Linked DNA regions of Daphnia pulex. The protein of the gene in region 2 interacts with the protein of the main gene of each other region in a pairwise test. Links are inferred from orthologs where the notes say so. Each region holds a gene or a part of one and is shown on either strand. Other genes may lie near its edges.

Region 1 (3,379 bases), about 6.8 Mb from region 2:
CGTAATGGGGGCACCTGGAAGATCAAATGCTTCAAACCTGATACTGTAAGTCTAGACCCTTTTAGCGCTGAAGGCTGGAAATACTAAACAACTTCTTCTTGATTATATTATTGCCAGGTGACAGTCTGGAGGGAACTGCTGTTGGCTGCCATTGGAGAACAATTCTGTGATTATGTGGAACCAGGAGATGATATTTGTGGAGTGTCTGTTTCTGTCAGAGACAGAGATGATATTGTTCAGGTAATATTAGGCTCATTTTCAACTCTGACAAAAATTTAAGTCTCTATCATACATTTTAATAGATATGGAACATAGACAGCACTAAAGCTGACAAAGCCAGGATAATTCAGAAGATTCAAGAGCTTTGTCCCAATATAGAGTTCCAGGCTGTCTTTTACAAGCGTAAGAATGATTTGTTGTTTCTTGAGCTATTGGAACATGTCATTACCTTTTTTTAATTTTTAATTTAGCACACCAAACTCACCATGCTTATGAAGGCGCCAAATAATAATAATAGGGTATACGCTGCCACGTACGCATAAAAATGACGGGAATAAGATTCGTCTAAATAATTTACACCTGTCAAAAAAATCTATCCCCGTATCATTAGTTCTTGTTTTATATTTTGTTTTCAGAGGGAACCAAATAAGGTCGTTCCCATTCAGTAGTTGCGTAATAGGGATAATATTTACCCGCTTTCAGTCGATCTGTTTTATCTTCAAAAAGAAAAAAGAGTATAATACTTGTACATTCAAGAAAACCTGGCCAAATATGTGTAAATACGAATAAAGTACACGCGATAAAAACGTCATTACTGTGTCACATCGTTTAATTCATTGGAAAGCAAGTCGTTTAAACATTTAGTTTTTTAACGTTTACGGGCACCACCACCACCTTTGGCTTTCTTGCCTCCTCCTTGTTTCGCTCGGCCGCCTGGTCCACCTCGTCCTGCTTTGCTGTTTCTGTCGTTGCCGGAATCTTTTTTCATGTTGTTCTTCTTTGAACCGCTTTTTTTGCCACCAAAGCCAAATTTGTTTTCTTTCGACGCGCGTTTATCACCTTTGCCTCCTCTACCCTTCACGGCACCCTTGCCTTTACCCTTGCCTTTGACTGGGCCTTTGCTCATGGGTTGACTATAGAATTAAAAACGACAATTAAATATAGCACAACATTAAAATAATTAAAAATATAGTTGGCATTACAAGACTTTGGATTCGTTCCTTTCCTTCGTCTTTTGCTTGGTGATTTCCACCATGTTTTTCTTCTTGCCGCCGTCATCGTCGAGGAAATCGAGTGAAGCCAATTTGCCTTCGCGGTATTGCTTGACTTTGGAAAGGAGCTCCTTCTTCTCCTTGGCGCGTTGAAGACCAACTTCAATTTGGACTTTTTTACCATATTTCTTGAGCTCTCTGAGTTTTTTAACTTTCTGACATTTTTCCTGGGCCATCTGCTGCGTAAGAACTCGCCTTTTGACCTATCACAAATAATAATGCTGGTATTACAGCTCCTTGACAAAACATTTAACAAAAAAATCACCTTCAACATGTGATCGTCAGATTTTGCCATTTGAGCAAAATAGTCTTCTGGTCTCTTTGTGGGAATTCCTAGTGTTTTGAGTCTGGCAAGCCCTTCAATGATGGCACTCTGTGCTTGGCGGTAAAACAATGTTTCCCTCTGCAGATCATCGACGATTCTGTCCCCAGGAGTTTCAATCTTGTACTGTGGTTCAGTATCCTCTTTGCCATTGAGAATGCTATCGACAATTGGCTCTAGTGATGTGGTCAAGTCAAGTCTTTCAACCCAGTCCAACTTCAGATGTATATCGCTTAGCTTCGAATTCAGCAAGGTCTGAAGAAGATATAAACACATTAGCAAAATGACTCAACTTGAAAAGAAAATGTACGCATTACAGTGTTGTTGGTAAAGGTCCGTGCAACTTCTTCTTTTTGGTTCAATCCGGGTTGCACCTCGCCTCTCTGATAGGCTTCTAGCAGCTGAAAATAACAATTGAATATTGAGCAACACAAAATGGAAAAAAAACGACAAAACTAAATACCTCTTCATCAGAATCAACTTCACTTTCATCGCTATCAGAGCTGGATTCATTGACGGGGAGTTTTCTCTTCATTGTGAATTAATAATTATCAACTCTTTTTTAGGCGTCCTTAACCACGAGTTGACGGCACCGCAATTCTTTCTGGCAGAAAAGCAGACAAATTTCAAGCACGTGTTTATACCTTTATGGAGTCACCCTAGCGGGAAGGCATTGAACCTCTTTGTACGGCAGCGTCTCATGGGGTTAGGCAACCCGTGAAACTGAAAGGAGACGTGGCCTTGAGTTTTTCTTGTTCGACGTAAACAAAGGTTGCCGTTCCCGTCCTTCGATGTTCTGTAGCAAAATACAGATGATAGAGATAGAGAAGAGGAAGAAATATGGTGTTGCTCATTTTCTATCTCGCCAACTAGTGACTGCTGCGTTAACTAGTAAATGTTAGGCCAGTCTCGCGAGTTATTTTAAATGTAGGGGGTGGAGAATCAGGATTTTGGATCCCGTCTACGTAAGCGCTAGTGTCGGCCACATTTTTCGGCTGGTTTTCATCTCTCATCTGTGTAAATCAATCAAATCTATGGATTCTGTTCTATCTTTCCATTATTATTTCCACGTCGGACGTTCGGCTAATTTTGAGTTTGAAATCGTTAAAATGGTTCTGTTGTTTTGTTGTTGTCACTTTTTCTGAAGACAAATTAACGGCGCTTCTATTGTGGCCTTTGGTTGGTTGCTGTTGGTGTCAAAATTCCTAGTAAATGATGTCAAGTTTGCCTAGAAGAAAAGCTGCTGAGAATATTCTTAACAAAATTCACCAAAAGCAGGTATGAATTCCTGTTTCATAAATTTCAACCAATCTAAGTTACTTGTTTATCTGTTTGAGTAAAGACCATGTGGTTTATTGTGAATTTGCTTCGTGTAAATTGTGGTCTTCTTTGTTTCCCCCCAAATCTCCATAATGGCTCATTATCATATTGTTTACACTTTTGCTGTTTTTAGCTGACTGGAAAGTGGGAAAACTACAACTACGGACAGGGTAAAGCTTCACTCTTTGGACGCCTGAATGAAAGGCTAATCTTTCAACTAGACAAAGTAATTCCCATGTCAGCCTTAGAATCAGGGTAAAATCTCTACATTTTTAACTATCACCAAAATCAACTAATATCCGAATTTTTCAACAGACATATTCTTCTTGGGTTTTCAAAATGTGCTCAATTTTTGTTGACATACACACATTCAATGGAGCTGGAAGTAAATCTGCTGACTGTGGTCCACAAGTAAATATTCAACTAAAAATAGCAGCTTTGCACCCTATTGTGTCATCTAACTATT
Region 2 (3,818 bases):
GTCAATAACAGCATTGCCAAATGTCCAACCCATTACTAATGTACTCCAGGTCCAGGTTACCAGATACCAGGTATTTTAATTTTTCAAGTGTAAACTCACTTAGTCCCAGCCCAGTCCTCGCTGTCCTGCAGTCCTGTGTATAGTGATGCAGTGCCAATCCACCTTTCCACCCAGTCTATATGGTCTGTCTTATATGTCAAATAAATTTATAGACTGTTTCCACCATGCACCATGAGTTAATCCAAAGACAAACACACAGGAGTCACATATCAAGACCACTTCTTTATCTGTGCTTGAGTGGGAAATCAGACCAATCACATAATGACTCGCTTAAGACATAAAAAACTTCTGATTTCAGTTCACTAAGTGAAGACATTTTAAGTTGTCTGTTTTTTTTTATTGTAATCATTTCATGTTTATTTCTAATAAAATGAAATAAAAATTACTTAACCTAAACAATTTATTGTCTTTGTTATTTAAAAGGGGAACTCAAGAAAATATCAGCGTCAGAACGGTTTGTATTCAGTACGTCGTTTACAAGACAACAGTTATTCATCGCCAGAATCACCCAAGATTTCATTAAAAATAGCTCCAGCTCTTTTCTTGCCAGTTGCTTTTGGGTTCTTCATCTTCTTTTTCTTCTCTTTTTTCTTTTTTTTCCCACCTTCACCACGATTGCTCGCAACTTCTTTAACAATTTTAGCTGCATTTTTGTCCTCAAAAACCTCTTCATCAAGCGGGTCCAAATCGCATAGATCTCCTGTCGGTTGTCTTGCTGCCAGCGACAACTTTTGCTCAATTTTCTGACGATACTTCAATCCTGTTTGTAAGTTCAGCATTCGGCGATACTAAAGAAGAAACTTGATAGGATGTGTTGTAAGTGGAAAAGGATTATTTAAAAATACCGCATTTGGCGTAACATAACTAGAATTTTCCCAAATAGTTTCTCCGCCAAAACTCCCATCGAAAACTTTGATGGGATTCAACACAAATCGTGGCCCTATACATTCGAATCATTTTAAACAACAATCTTAGAAACCAAAGGGAAAAAAAATAAAAATACCTATTTCCGCAAGCTGACCATCCTCTTCAAGAATTTGAAAGTTTCGAAACCAGATCCGATTTTCAATTATCGTAAAAGTGAAAACATGGTCAAAGAATGGTTGACTTTTGGGATGATTTTTAGGAGTTGAAAAGATCTTAAAATTTTAAAATAAAAAAAAATTATGTCATCCTGAAGAAAATATAAATAAAACCTTGCCTGTGTCATGAGTTCCTTTAATAGAGACCAATGTGGATGTGTGTCAAAACTGGAGTCAAACGATAGCAATGGTCTTGTGCCCTTTAAGCAATTTCCAGTCATTTTCAATTCTTTCATTGTGTGCACTAGTAAAAAATAATAAATTTAGTACTGATCATATTATTACTTTAATAAACTGACCATTTTCAATATAAAATTTAGCACTAGGCCCTTTTGGAACATCTGCAAGCCAAAGAAACAAATCTTGTTTTTTCCTTCCTTCAAAAAATATGCATTTACTACAATTCTTCATTTCACAAATCTACATGAAGATGTTATTTGAATATTAGTACTTAATTTATGAAATTGAAAAGAAAATGTTACTTCATTGATGACAAATAGAGGGTCCTTTCTCTCAAATTTACTTTCTGTTTTGGAGTGAGGCATCATATCACGCAAGTCAACCATCAAGTGCCTATCTCTTTGTGTTATTCCACGTGCAGCAAAGACAAGAACTCTTTGTTTGTTCACCCATTTCGCCTATTTGATTTAAGCATGAATTAAAAAAATTGTCACTGATTTTTAGATTAGCATATACCTTTTTCGTCACAGGCTCGTCTGATGTTCGCACCAATGGCAATGCAGTTTCTTCAATTTTGTTATCTTTCGATTCCGGCATGATGGTGCTCTTCTTTCTTTTCGCCATCATGAAAGTGTAAAAGCTTAAAAATTGTTAGCAGGCACTTCGAGATTTAAGCTTGAAATTCTGAACCAACTAACGACAGAATGTTGAAGCAGAAGACACAAAGACCACGTGCGAGTGAACGTATACTGCATTACTGCCTTCATTTGTTTTAAGGGTGCGTTCATAAACATATCTGATTTCTCGGCTGTCCCTAAACTGCGAAAGCGAAACGCGAAACGCGAAACGCCTAAAATGCGGAAAAGCTGTGCGAAACGGACCCAAAAGTTGGGACCCTGTTTCGCATTTTAGGCCTTGGGTCCGTACTAAAATGCGAAATCGGTGGGTGCGAAATGTCAACAGAACGTCAACAGACGACGCCATTAACATACTTGCGTCACAAAAATCTACTCGTCAAGGGGCGTATCAAGTAAGTTATCCGAGCAATCGCGATTCCATAAGCATACACGGGAAAATCCCTCTACCGGGAATCAGTTCGAACTAAATTTTCCGTGTATAAAATTTGATTGCTCCCCCCTTTCAATGTCTTAAACAAAAATAATCCCACAGCGCCCAGCGGGGTACATTAACACATTGTTACGTCGTCGACGTTCTCTATGTCATTCGATCAATCTGTTTCTCTTAGCCGGAATTTCTCTCAACAGTTGTTCGCCGAGGAAAATCGGCTGACCAAGTCAAATGGAAAAAACTATCAGCCGATAGCAGCCCGGCGTCTAAATATATATAGCTATTCGATTAAAATTTATTGAAAATGCCACCCAGCTAAAACGTGCTGAAAGCTTCTTCCGCCTCTATTCCACAAAGACTTAATTGGAGATTTCTCATTCAAGAGCTCATCCGAGGGACCCCCGTGCTCTTGAAGAAACAAGAGTAATCGAGTCGACTAAATAAATTTAATTTGATAAGACTGTTTTCCCATGAAATACAAACATTTTATTTTCAAAACTCTAGCGAAAAGTAATATTCGTTAATATATAGTGTACACAGTACACACATTCATATCCATACATACATTCACATTACATATACTATGAGTCATGAAACATGGCGGCCTAAACGGGCCTCATCCGTCAATTTGCACTCTGGTGGGGAAAAGAAAACATTTTCGTTTCGCATTTTGAGGTTTCGCATTTTAGTATGCCCTCCGGCATTTGGTCCCGCGAAACGGTCCAAAAATTTTGGTCCGTTTCGCACAGCCTTTCCGCATTTTAGGCGTTTCGCGTTTCGCGTTTCGCTTTCGCAGTTTAGGGACAGAGCCTGATTTCTCCATTCCCATTCGTGGAAAATGTTCCAATTCCAAATTTGAAAATGCTGTCTCAGACGGCCACTGGATTACGAACTTGTGCTCTAACTTAACTAAGCTATTACTAAGCTTAAATTAGTTAATATTAATAATAATTTATTTTATATAATTCCTTAATATATTATCTCTCCTCTCGCCAACACAAGACTCGAGCCAATCGCATGTCGCCATGCTCGCAAACAGATAAAGGCCTCTTCAGGAAATAAACTAAACAATAAACGAAAGCAAGGGTATGGAAAGATGGATGCCAATGACCATGTTAAATTTCCCATAAGGGGATTCGACGGCAAGCTACTTTGCTACTTTTTTACTAGCGATTTTGTATGGAGGTCGAGTTGAATCAACGCCATCTAGGACGTTGCGAGTTGCGACATATAAACAGTCAACTCGACCTTTTAGTAAAATGAGCAGACGGCCCCTTATGGGAAATTTTTAAAAATGGATGCTGGAAACCATCTCTCCATAGTCCATACTCCATACCACTGACGAAAGGCAAGGCTTTCAAAAAACAGGGTTATATGGTTGGCTGCTGTGCGAAATTGGAAGCGAAAGGAAGCTTCTCGATAAGTCGA

The links.
Region 1: the proteins of ribosome biogenesis protein BRX1 homolog (region 2) and probable rRNA-processing protein EBP2 interact in binary tests that used the Drosophila melanogaster proteins (3 or more experiments, as listed by UniProt). The link is inferred for Daphnia pulex from reciprocal best matches to the Drosophila melanogaster genes CG11583 and CG1542.

Annotation. Positions count from the first base shown.
Region 1 is NC_060022.1:62,418-65,796, forward strand, and holds probable rRNA-processing protein EBP2, read right to left. Parts: upstream 2,231-3,379; 5' UTR 2,129-2,230; coding exon 2,057-2,128; intron 1,995-2,056; coding exon 1,911-1,994; intron 1,849-1,910; coding exon 1,537-1,848; intron 1,475-1,536; coding exon 1,203-1,474; intron 1,134-1,202; coding exon 869-1,133; 3' UTR 812-868; downstream 1-811. Other genes in the region: eukaryotic translation initiation factor 4E type 3-like, read left to right, coding at 1-45, 118-240, 303-402, 471-508; uncharacterized protein LOC124195596, read left to right, coding at 2,806-2,871, 3,047-3,168, 3,229-3,324. UniProt on the Drosophila melanogaster protein: Required for the processing of the 27S pre-rRNA.
Region 2 is NC_060022.1:6,872,217-6,876,034, reverse strand, and holds ribosome biogenesis protein BRX1 homolog, read right to left. Parts: upstream 2,087-3,818; 5' UTR 1,950-2,086; coding exon 1,839-1,949; intron 1,781-1,838; coding exon 1,625-1,780; intron 1,563-1,624; coding exon 1,442-1,562; intron 1,387-1,441; coding exon 1,262-1,386; intron 1,200-1,261; coding exon 1,064-1,199; intron 1,001-1,063; coding exon 906-1,000; intron 849-905; coding exon 549-848; 3' UTR 501-548; downstream 1-500. UniProt on the Drosophila melanogaster protein: Required for biogenesis of the 60S ribosomal subunit.